3 linked regions of the Xenopus tropicalis genome follow. The protein of the gene in region 3 binds, or shares a complex with, the protein of the main gene of each other region. Links are inferred from orthologs where the notes say so. Each region holds a gene or a part of one and is shown on either strand. Other genes may lie near its edges.

Region 1 (4,418 bases), on a different chromosome or scaffold from region 3:
GCCAGAGCCTATGGAAAAGAAAAACATAGGCAAAAGTAAAAATGAGGTGGTAATGTATTCAGCTAATTGGTAATGTTGCCTTATTTTTTTTAATACAAAAGTACCCATAAGGAGTTTATTTAAAAGGTTTTGTCAATACATTAGCATTCTGACCAAACGTGACAGCTGTATAAAGAAGAGGCTGTGCTATCATTTATTCCTGTCCCTCTAGATTCAGTGACAACATTTTGTCAATCTGGACAGACCCTGCTTGGGTTTGTCCAACTATTTTGTTAAAGCCATATTTTAGTTTTGCCATAAAGAAGAAACTCGAAAAATCGGATTGGAAACGAACATTTTGCGATTTTTTCGTGAATTGTCGCAAATTGTTGCAACTTTTTCGTAGCCGTTACGACTTTCGCGAGTTGTCGCAACTTTTTCGTATTGAGCGCTTTCGTACTCGGCACGAGAGTACGATTTTTTCGCGACGGAAAAGTCGCGACGGCGACAAAAAAAATCTCAAAATACAGATCATTACAAATTAGTAAATTTGCCCCTAGGAGTTAAATCCTTGTGTACATGCTCCCTCACTGAACAAGTTTTGGGAGGGCATGAAGTGTGCTGTTAACAGTGTTCCAAAACTGCTCAGTTACTGCTACCACTCAAAAATATAGAATCAGATTTCATGGATAATTTTGTCCCTAACAACTGCTGCTAGGGGAGACCTACAGGGTCTGAAACATTTTTAGAAGAGGGATCAGCATTAAAAGGTATCTACTTATATGGGAAGGCACTGTATGCCTTTAAAGAATAAGTAAACCTTTTTTTTTTTTTTTTTAATCTAAATTTACTCTAAAATTACTCTGTTTAGCCCCCAGAATAACATACCTTTTTTCCCTGCATCCAGAATTACTTTGTCTCTCTATTACAAGCAGATGAGCTGCATCTCTTTTACCGGCTTCCTTGTCTAGTGTGAAGCCCCGCCCCTTTTGCTTTATGAGTCCCCCTTTCTCTCTCTCCGACTATGATGACCTAATAGAGGTGCCTACTCTGCATGCCTGATGTGTTTGTCAGCTCCATAGTACTTTGCTCACCTTCTCATGCCACTGCAACAAGACAGCACTGCTGTTGTCAGACGGACTCTCAAAGCCCTTGTAGATGTATTTCATTAAGAGGTCCATGTTATTTTTGTCTAAAGATTGAACAGCCTTTTCTATGTCATTAGCTTTAAAGGAGATTAGAACTTTCAGCACCAGGTGCTCAGCTCGATCCTAAGTAAAAAGCAATGATAAAGTCAATGTCCATACTCCAAAATTTAAAATAAAGAGTTAGAAAATTGTAAAACTGTATTGGAAAACTTGCTGGTATGACCAACTGAGTAGTGGCTGATTATTGGTACAGAATGCATTAAGTGCAGCAAAATAAGTTTGGCTGAAAGTAAGATATGAATATAATTTATAAAATAGTGTGGCAATAAAACTATTGGCAGGAGGAACAAAAAGCAAAGAGGAAGTAAGCACTGACTGATGTATATTCTGTACCCAATACGCCACTTTATAACTACCTTATTTATCCTTCAGCAAATAATAAGCAAATGAATAACAATTTGTTTCCTGTTGTATTTTACTAGAAGCATATTACCTTGGCAGACTGATTCTTGGTATTAATTGGTGGGTTCTTTAGAGCAGCTTGCAGAGCTCCCATCATGTTTCCTGTAGCAAGCTGTTAAGGGAATAACGTACTGACACAAAAGAAATGCCATACAATAATTACAGAACAATTTCAGTTGATGCTTTATATTCACAGATCCCTATATGGCCCTGGCCTAATATTAGCATAAATCTGAAAAAGCCTACTGTGCATATATATGGAAATATGGTCTGAATTGAAAATGTGTTAAAACTAATGAAAAAAATATAGATCTGGGACAAAAGTGTAAAAAAAGCCAACCAAGCAGAAGTTCCCATGCTTCCTGATGACTGAGACTGAGCCACTTCCTGCATTCCTAAACCTGAAGCAAGACCAAGCTTGCCTCACAAAAACATATAGCTTGTACTATAACACCACAACGACCAATAACTGCTACAGAACCATCAAGGTGTGTTTAACTGTGTGCTCAACCTGTGTGTAACTTGGCTCAAAGTCCACTATTGTATTATCCACCCTTGGAAACACCGATAAGAAAGCATGTAAATGTATGTGATTTCAAACAGAGAGAGAGTGAGAAAGAAAGTGTTTTTGTTTAGATAGACAGAGAAAAAGAAACAAAATGCACAGGATAAAGTGACTGACACTCCCACAGCCTCACAGCAAGTTCCTCTTTGTAGGAAAAGGAGATTAACTACTGACATTTCCTACACAGCAGAGCCTCTATATACGGTTTGCAAGTATTTTGCTTGCCATAGATCCTTTAGGTATGTAATATGGAGTCAGTGTGCAAACTGGAGTTGGTATGCACAGCTTCTGCATATCCACACATAGCAAATGACAAGGTGCATAGACAAAAGCAAATGTGTATTGACTCCAGTTTGAAAGCTTATTAGGCTACCATATCAGGACTATGCCAGTTTATTCTAGTAGATATTCCTGAAACCTTAGCTTGGAGATCAAACAAAGAGAAGGGTGTAGGGGGAAGTATAGGCTTTGCAAGATGAAGATGAGTACAAAGCATGACAGGAATAGTGGAAACAGTGGCAGTCAGCCCTCTCCATGTGACACCGCACACCTTCAGCATGTTAGCACTATGACACGGTACAGCCCATATGTCAGGCGATTAGGAGCATGTCTGTTCATACAAAGGTACAATGCCAGGCCCTGCCAGCACAGACAACATACAAGGATATCCCCGAATCGCGCTATCAACCTCCCCCTCGTCGGGTCCTTGCTGTCCTTCTCCCGCCTCCTCTTCGTCAACGAATTTGTTCTCATCATATTCATCCACATCTACTTTCCGGAAGCGTGCAGACACCGTATTCTTCGCCATCCCGAACCGGAGACTCTGTGCTGCTGGCAGGGAGCGGTCGTACTCAATGCGCAGGCGCAGCGGCTTCCGCTTTTATTCTCGGCTTCCGGAGACTGTCAGAGCGCTAGTTTTGCTGGTGTGGTTACCTCTGCCGGGATTAAGGCAGTATCAAAGCGTTCAGTCTATTCTGTGGGCTTTACCCAGGCGGGACACTCAGGCTGGGCCCGTGGGTAGTACATTTACCTGGGCGGTGGAGGTGTCAGGGGATAATCAGTTTGGTGTTTTCCAGTGACCTGACCTGTTGCATGGTAAAAAAAACTGTGGCATGGCTTGCTGGACTGCTTTTGTACAGAAAAAAAGGATTTTCTGGCAAAGTCCTCACCGTTTTGTGGGTTTCACGCAGTGCAGGACGGGTGTTTATATAAATCCAGACTAAATAAATAAAGTTAGGTATTGTAAGTGTATTGAGTGCATTTTGTGGAAGTCTGTGTTGCTGCATATGCTGATGGAATATGTGTATTTCCAATAGCATGTTTTATATAATATCCTGTGGTTGTCATCCCCTTAATTCAATGTTCCAATAGTTTATGTAATGGTACTATAGCAATGGCTTGTTGTCAGATCTTGTTATAATGTTAGTGTTTAATATAAAATAGTTTTTGCTTGTTCTACCCCCTCCCCCTTTTCCTTCTGAGCCTCCTCCATTCCTTGGGGCTGTTGCCTCGAGAGGAAACTTTGTCGATTTCAGCGCCGCGTATGGCATCCCACTGGCGATTTACATTCTAGCCGGTGGGATGGCATTTTGGGAAGATTAGTCGCCTGCACCAAGGTAGATTTGTCGCATGGCGACTAATCTCCCCGTCTGTCACAGCCCTTACGAAAGACGTGTAAATATAGAATTAAAAAAAAAAAGAATATCCTGTGGCAGACAATTATTGCCCCCCGGGTTGTGGACCCCTAACAAGTAACATAGTAAGTTAGGTTGAAAAAAGACATATGTCCATCAAGTTCAACCATAATGCCTATATATAACCTGCCTAACTGGTAGCTGATCCAGAGGAAGGCAAAAAAGTTTCCTGCCCAGTTCTCACAGGTGACATAAAACCTCAATATAGCGTCAAACAGTAATAAGAATGGGAACACAGGAGCAACTATGCCCTTCCATTGCCTGACAGGCTTTACTAGGCACACTTTCTTCTTTTTTTGTTGTTAAAAAGACAGATTCTAAAAGTCTTTCTGCATTTGGTTAATATGGTGATTTTATACACAGTAAATTGTCATTCTAGACACCATTTTCATGGATTTGGAGTACCGTTTAAAATCAGTCAATGTGAGTTTTTTTCTCATCATAAGCAACACTTTGGTGGTGTTCATAATGTCAAACTCATGTACAGGCAAAATGTTGCTACTTCAACTTTATGACATAAAAACTCATTTCTATGTAGGGTGGCAATAAAAAAAGCGTCATTTGGACAAT
Region 2 (4,265 bases), on a different chromosome or scaffold from region 3:
GCAAAATCTCTCACCCTGTCCCCAGTTCAGATGCAGCCAGCGGGCAGCATGCTGCCACCAGATCCTTGGTGCCCTTGGCATGGCCCTTTGTGGCTTGCCCACAAATCCAGGCCTGAAAATAAGTAGCTGTGTAGCCACGGGGGCTGCCATTCGAGTTGAAACTGGGTTAGATGCCACAGATACAGAGCAAATCTGATATGCAATCTGTGCCTTTTCTTGTTTTCAAGCTAAATACCTACCCCCATAGCTACACAGCAGCTTATTTATTTAACAGTAGTAGAGTTTGTGAAGCAAACACACAAGTTTTACCAGTGCAGGGCAGCAGTACGTTATATATTTCAATACCTTCATCATTTTTTTTTTTTTAATGTTACTTTAAGAGAACCCACATCACCAACTTATTTCAAAGAAGTACCTTTTGCCTAAATTTTATAAGTAACATTAGAAAACTATCAATGGCCTGGCATTTGGACATTCTAAGCAGTATATTTCTCTGGCTTATGAATCAATCAACACCCTATAATGAATTTATTGTTGGAATTCACTTTCTGTCTGCGCTCACAGGCTGCCGACATGCCGGTCAGTCCACTAGTAAGAAGGAATGGATCCACTTGCATTGGCCTGTTCCCATTTTTACGCAGGTGGGGAAACAGCCCTGTGTATCACTAACCTAAGCCAGCACTAAGGAGACCTAAAAAAGTTAACTAAAATAGGGCTGTTTTTTTCCTCCAGGTTGATATATTTGATTTTCTCTGTTAAAATGTAATAATACAATTTAGATTCAGCGTTCTGCTATATTGTTAATGCAGGATTCAGCTGAATCTAAAAATGAAGGATTCAGTACATGCCTTTATTAAAATCAATTATAAATACCGCAACTACAGTCATACCTACAAGGTGTAGCTAAAATGGCCGATTGGATTTTTCTCTTCTAACAAACACAAGCCTTGGAGTTGTAACCATACATCCAGACTGCTCAGCCCCTAACTAGCACCACCATGTGTACAGCCATAATGTTTGCTAAAGAATGTAAGCAAAGTATCAATAAACCTGCAACACTGGATTGCATGGGGCCAGCAATTACCAGTCTTTCCCACTCACAATGATTGACCAGCCTCTTGTTCTGTCACAGCCTTTCATATCATTGCTTTTTATAACTGAATCTTTGTTATCAGCAAAGGATGAGTCAATGCATATTAAACTATGTACGTACCCCCAGCTGTTACCCACCACTCCCAGGACAAGGGAGGCACGAAGAGTGATACTGGCAAATGTGCAGAAACAACTGCTAGAGGCAGGGGCATAGCTGCAAGTTACTTAGCTCCACCGTAACATTTTTAGCTCCCACTCGCTTTAGGGTGAAGACACACAGAGCTACTAGTAGTAGCTACTTTTTCATGGCTACTTAACTCCAGAAAACACCCTGCCATAGACAATACTGAGACTTGCCTCTGCTAAAACGCACACATAGAGACAATTACAGGTATGGGACCCATTATCCAGAATGCTCATGACCTGGGGTTTTCCAGATAAGGGGTCTTTCCGTAATTTGGATCTCCATACCTTAAGTATGTTAATAAAATTATTTAAACATTAAATAAACCCAATAGGCTTGTTTTGCCTCTAATAAGAATTAATTGTATCTTAGTTGGGATCAAGTACAGGTACTGTTTTATTATTACAGAGAAAAGGGAATCATTTAACCATTAAATAAACCCAATAGGGCTGTTCTGCCCCCAATAACGGGTAATTATATCTTAGTTGGGATCAAGTACAGGTACTGTTTTATTATTACAGAGAAAAGGGAATCATTTAACCATTAAATAAACCCAATAGGGCTGTTCTGCCCCAATAAGGGGTAATTATATCTTAGTTGGGATCACGTACAGGTACTGTTTTATTATTACAGAGAAAAGGGAATCATTTAACCATTAAATAAACCCAATAGGGCTGTTCTGCCCCCAATAAGGGGTAATTATATCTTAGTTGGGATCAAGTACAAGGTACTGTATTATTATTACAGAGAAAAATGAAATAATTTTTTAAAATGTGAATTATTTGATCACAATGGAGTCTATGGGAGACGGCCTTTTGGTAATTCAGAACTTTATGGATAATGGGTTTCCGGATAAGGGGTCCGATACCTGTATCAGTAAATGATCAGCATTGTCTATTTGAGTAGCCATGACAAGTACTAGTAGCTACATGTGTCTTCACCCATAAGAAACATTTTTCATTAAAAAAATAATAAACTGTTTATCAGTCCCCCCCCCCCCCTGACAAGAGGGTTGCAGGTTAAGCATTCCAGTAATTACAGCATGAGCGATGGCCTAGGTGTGCAGTAATACAGTAAAAGGATATTGCCTGATCAGACTGTCCACCTCGGCCTCGTCGGGCCCCTGAGGCTCGGCCGGTTCCTCCTGCAGCTGATCGTCAACAAATTTGTTCTCGTCGTACTCGTCTATGTCCACCTTGCGGAAGCGCGACGACAGCGTGTTCTTGGCCATGTTAGGCTAGCCGGCCGGCTGCAGCACCCACAGGAAGGGGGTGTGACACCCTGATAGGGTGTGAGCGCAGGGAAGGTGACAGGAACCGACTGCCACTACAAACACTCAATGAGCCTGACAGCAAAACGCACCCCCTTCAAAAATGCGGCCACTGATCGCTAGGGGCTACAGTAAGGCTCAATGAATTCTCTCAATGAAGCTGTGTGACAGGAATTGGGGGCTGAGAGAGAGGAGGGAAGGGGGCGGAGGCCAATGAAAAGGGGGTGTTGAGGCGCTTACTCCCTGGCTAGGTCGGACGGCAGCTACTCAGGGTGGGGGTGACCAGGGAGGGAAGTGGCGACTGAGAGGGAAGGGGGCTTGGCCGCTGTCACGGACACTCGCTTCCAGTCCAGCCGGCTCCCTCCGCTTCCGGTGACTCCGGCAGGGCGGAGCGTGTAGCGGAAGCGGAATGGCGTCACTGACATGAACGCGTGAGAAGCGAGAAGCCAACATGGCGGCCTCTTGTTGCTTAGCAACTCCTCAGGCCGTCACCCCAGGGGCTTGGGGGACAGTAGTTAGGGGCATAGATGTCAACATTCGGAAAAGAAATAACTGTATGGAGGAGGCATGGTGCCTTAAACGAAATAAACTTACATTGTGCCACACTACTTGGGAATTGAAATGCGTGCTGTAGTCACACAAGGCAGATTTATATGTAGCCTTAAAGAAGGTACATCAGTGAATTGCTAATTGGATATTAAGGGTCAGGATTTTAAGATACAGAAAAAAGTAAACATATGCTCAGAAGTAATTCGTAAATCTCACCCATAGTATAGATGGGCCCAGGTGCTCATGCCCCAGACCTTCAGCTAGAGGGAGCCATCATGGGTATCTCACAAACATTGAGAGAAGACAAACAAATAAATAAGGTTGAGGAGACTGCCTCACGCAGACAAAAGCAAACAAAAGGAATTCTGGGAACAAATTCCAGACTCTTTAAAAAAATCCCATTTACATGGGTTTATCCTATAGGCTACAGCTCACCCACTGGGTTTGAAGCTGAAGCCAGGACAATAGCTGATCAGATTCCCAACTACAGACCGGTTTCACCCTTATTGGGGGCTCATCAGTGTAGTGCAGGGTTTTCTGATCAGCTTAGGTAGAGTCACCATGTGGTTCTACAAACAAATAAATAAGGTTGAGGAGACTGCCTCACACAGAGAGAAGACAGGCACTCTGGTAGTTCAGTGAAGAAAAGCGGTTGTCCACGAGAAAGTAAAGTAAAATCACAAAACTTTTATTGAGCTAACACATGATACGTGAACTACCAGAGTGCCTGCCTTCTCTCAATGTTTGTGATATAGTCAGGATTTTGAGACCAGTTTCAAAGGGGTCATCTTTACATGGAAGCTAGTTAGTGCCTGTGGGTGGTGAATTAGTAGGTCAGATTGTTGGCAATATTATATAAATCATTTTTTCAAGGGTGATATGGCATTGGCAATTGGACTATCCACTATATCAGAATGGCAGTAAATGACAGCGCCAAAAAAATACCATGATTTGGTCATTACTAGGTTTGTACTTTCCTGTTAATTTACCTGCCGATCATTACAAGTAATGCCCTAGAATGCTGACTAAAAGCTGCAATTATGAGAGTTGTTCTTGGACATATGAATTGCTTTCTGGCTCTTATGACCTCCATATTGTAATATTGATTATTATTTAACCTAGAAAAACGCACTCATATCTTAAACTGTGTGTGCATTGTAATTGTCTGCG
Region 3 (3,723 bases):
GCTGGTGCCCCTGTTAGGAGAAAACCGCACCAGCCCGGGGTACCTGTAGCAAGCGCTTCCTCCTTCCGTGTTTCTTCTGCGGCGAAATCCCTGGGCATGCGCAGTAGAGTGAAAAGCCGACTTTTTTGTTAGAGTTCGGCTTTTCACTCTCATGCATGAACACGGAGGGGGAACCGCTCGCTGCAGCTACCCTGGGCTAGTGCGGTTTTCTCCTAACAGGGGCACCAGCCTGGGGTAAAAGGTAAGCAATTAAAGTCACTTGGGGATGCCTAAAATTTTGGCTTAGCCTTTCCTTCTCCTTTAACATGTTCAAGCAAACCACTAACTGCATTTTGTTTTTGTTTTTGTTTTTTTAAATAAACCTAATGTTACTATTTTTTCAAATGAAATGCTGCCCATTTCAAGGACATTTCCCCAAGCACTTGTGACCAACGTGTATGCACATTTTTTTTTTCTTTCTAGAGCAGCAGGGGTACTATAAGGATAAAACTATATAACCATAGTAAGAATTTCAGGTCTGCATTTTCCCTTGTTTACAATTATTACTACTACATTTTACTACATTTATTTACAAAGCACCAACATATTCTTCAACATTGTGCAATAGGGTACATCATTATTTAACATGCAAGCAAGCCAATAGAGTATGTAATGATTGCTGATCATCTTTGATTTATTGAGGGCAATTAACCTCTCCATGGGGCATTAGCCTAAGAATAATCAGATATTGAAACTTTTTCTCTAGCATCTGGACATACTAGATATGGCAGAAATGTATTCCTATTTTATGGGAATGTTTTTTTTTGTGTACCCAGCTTCTGATTATTACGCTGTCTAAACAATCAAGAATTTGCATCTCTATACATCAACAAGCATCTTCCCTTGGCTTCAAATCAGCTTCTGATTCTTTGTATCCAAAACTTCCTTCTTTATAGGGAATCAACCCTAGAGTATATTTTAATTTTGCATAGGTGCTTCAGCACAGTCATACCTGCTCTTAAAATCACTGGACCCAGCTGCCAGAAGAACATTGTTTGGATGCCAATCCAGACTCAGGACCGTTGAGCGTATTGGTTTCTTGATGTGCTTACACACCCACCTACATTGAAACAATAAAAACTGTATTAATAAATATGCAAGAGGACAATAGACTAAATTACTTTATTCATCAGTAGATCATCAAGAAGATACAGCGGCATCCACTGAGATTATAAAAACAGAGGATTCATTTTTTAATTTAGGTGCTAAATGGTTTTACAGTGAGATTGGATAAGATGTGGAATGCTCTCCCTAAACTCTTTGTACTGGCAGATACATAAGGTAGAATCTATTGGAGAGAAGTCTAAGGACAATGACACACAGGGAGATATGTTACCCGTGTTTAAAAAAAGAAAAAAAAAAACCCTACCACAGGTGACAAATCTCCCTAAAAAGCCTTATCCTATGCTAACATTGGAATCGCTGTAAGTAAATTACATTACTCACCGCGATTCGGCTCTTAATCATAGGAAAATGCAAAAGCAGGCATTTCTCTGCTCTTAAAGCCGAATTGTAAGTAAGCATAATATATTGTGTCGATTGCAAGGTTAGTAAAGGGCAAGGCATTTTAGGAGAGATTTGTTACCCACTATTTTTTTACGGGGGCAACAAATCTCCCCATGTGTCATTGCCCTTAAACAACTGAATGGAGTACTCCTGAAACTGTTTCACTGCTCATGCCGTGGCTTCTTCAGGTAAGTAGTAGTTGGTACCTGTCACCCAGAGATAAAAATCTGTATAATAAATGTCCTTTCGGCAGCTTACCTAAGGGGACCCCCGATGGCCCTACCTGACTCATATCTGTGTGAAAATCACAGGTGTCAATCCAACAGGTTTCATTTTTTTAGTCAGATTTTTTTAGTCAGACCACATTGGCTCAGTGATGTGGTCCTCACGCCAACCACTCCTTCCTCCTATCTAAGGCCAAATGATCAAATTAGCCTGATATCTCCCACTTTAGGTGGGCATATAGGGGAAAGATCTGCTCATTTGCTGATCTCGCCAACTAACAAATCTTTCTCCCAATATGGCGATATCAGGCTAACTCGATCATTTGGCCCTAGGGCCAAACAATCAAATTAAAATGATAGATATAGGAGCTATTGAAGAAAGGGCTGAATGAATGAGCCAATGCGGTCCCCGATCCGACAGCGATGCCTGATTGACAAATTGACCAATTTTTGCCCTGATATTGGTCGGGAAAGCCCATTAAGAATCTCCAGACACGAGCAGGTATGCTACCAAATTGGTCTGAATGACTTGAGAATTGGCAGCTTAAATATGCCCATGTATGGTCACCTTAAGGATACATGGCATAAAAATGTTTTTACCTCAACTCTACTACGCTTTTCACACGCATAAAATACGGATGGCCATAATCCCTTCCACAAGCACCTATAATAATGAGCTGAAAATGCATGCAAGCTTGCACGTTAGTCTCAAAGGGGGAACAATAGAAGCCACATTTGGGCTGTTAAAAAAGGTAACGGGTAAAATGCAAAGGTAAAATGCCCTTGCCTGAACAATTGTCCTGAAAAATGCACCTAAGATAAAGCTTACTTTTAAATAAATCTAGTTACTCTATATTTTTCTACAGTTACCAATCATTTTCCTGCTCGAAGTAGCAGATGGAAATTAGCCTGGATCCACTGCCCACTGCAAACTTGTTCTCCTTAGGTGACCACTTTACACAACGTGCAGCACGGTTAATCCTGAGAATGACCAGTGTCGGTTTCCACACATTGTTTCTTAGAGTCCACACATAGGCATTACGATCCGTACCACAGGTTACAATGCGATTGCTGTCAGGAGCCCAGTCAATACCTTGGACCAGGGAAAAATAAAAATGTCAAGTTTGATAGCTTTTTAAACCATACATATTATATCACATTATTATTATATGGGCAGGGCGCTCTTTGCATCTTGTATTGGTTATTGACTGCTTTGTATGTAAATCAGCGCTTTTACTCCCTTCCATTCAAATGAATTTGGTGGACCCATATTTGTTATTATCTTTGTAAATATCGGTCATATATTTTATTTAGATTCAGCGTTTTGTATTTTGCATGTTTATTTATATACATATATTTCAGTCTTTATAACTTTGCAGGGTGAACAGCCAAATTTTGAGTATTCAGCAATAAATATTCTGTGACCGGCACACCCTTTAAAAACATCATAAGTTTATTGTAGACATATTGTTTAAAAGAATCCAACGTTTCGGTCCTCAATAGGACCTTTCTCAAGGATAAAACAATAGTGTTCAAACCAACCTTAAATACACTCTTATATCAACAGACCATTATGCAATTATCCAATTTTCTTGTGAATGTGCAAATTCAAATGGGCCAATCTCTGACCATCAACAGTGCATATTATATCATCATAAATAATTATAAATTGTTACATCATAAAATAAGTGCTTAATTAAAAAAATATTGAATATTACACAATAGTGTAATAACATAGTTACCATACAGTATAAATTCTTAAAAGTGCAATATTAAAAATAGAATTATTAAAAGTGTAATATTCACCAATTATATCATCTAAGGCAGGGCTGTCCAACTAGTGGCCGTGGGCCGAGACCCCCCTCTCTGTGGTCCCCCACCTGTCTGGCTGCTTTGATGGCTTACCATTGTGGAAGCTTTAAAGGGGACCTGTCACCTTAAGAAATAATTCCAA

Evidence for each region.
Region 1: arpc1b (region 3) and arpc5 share a complex: the UniProt entries of both Homo sapiens proteins name them as parts of the arp2/3 complex. The link is inferred for Xenopus tropicalis from reciprocal best matches to the Homo sapiens genes ARPC1B and ARPC5.
Region 2: the proteins of arpc1b (region 3) and arpc5l are in contact, whole or in part, in a cryo-EM structure (PDB 6YW6), measured with the Homo sapiens proteins. The link is inferred for Xenopus tropicalis from reciprocal best matches to the Homo sapiens genes ARPC1B and ARPC5L. Residues at the interface, in NP_005711.1 of Homo sapiens: Arg118, Lys138, Arg142, Phe164, Ser201, Gly203, Trp204, His222, Asp223, Ser224, Thr225, Leu240, Ala241, Ser242, Glu243, Thr244, Leu245, Pro246, Phe281; in NP_112240.1 of Homo sapiens: Asn21, Lys22, Arg102, Gly139, Leu140, Gly141, Ile144, Arg145, Thr148, Arg150, Lys151.

The regions. Positions count from the first base shown.
Region 1 is NC_030680.2:99,903,041-99,907,458, reverse strand, and holds the start of arpc5 (actin-related protein 2/3 complex subunit 5), read right to left. Parts: upstream 2,990-4,418; 5' UTR 2,963-2,989; coding exon 2,823-2,962; intron 1,694-2,822; coding exon 1,621-1,693; intron 1,251-1,620; coding exon 1,074-1,250; intron 9-1,073; coding exon 1-8. UniProt on the Homo sapiens protein: Component of the Arp2/3 complex, a multiprotein complex that mediates actin polymerization upon stimulation by nucleation-promoting factor (NPF).
Region 2 is NC_030684.2:28,258,024-28,262,288, forward strand, and holds the start of arpc5l (actin-related protein 2/3 complex subunit 5-like protein), read right to left. Parts: upstream 2,842-4,265; 5' UTR 2,508-2,841; coding exon 2,362-2,507; intron 1-2,361. UniProt on the Homo sapiens protein: May function as component of the Arp2/3 complex which is involved in regulation of actin polymerization and together with an activating nucleation-promoting factor (NPF) mediates the formation of branched actin networks.
Region 3 is NC_030685.2:41,828,989-41,832,711, reverse strand, and holds part of arpc1b (actin-related protein 2/3 complex subunit 1B), read right to left. Parts: intron 2,863-3,723; coding exon 2,640-2,862; intron 1,100-2,639; coding exon 992-1,099; intron 1-991. UniProt on the Homo sapiens protein: Component of the Arp2/3 complex, a multiprotein complex that mediates actin polymerization upon stimulation by nucleation-promoting factor (NPF).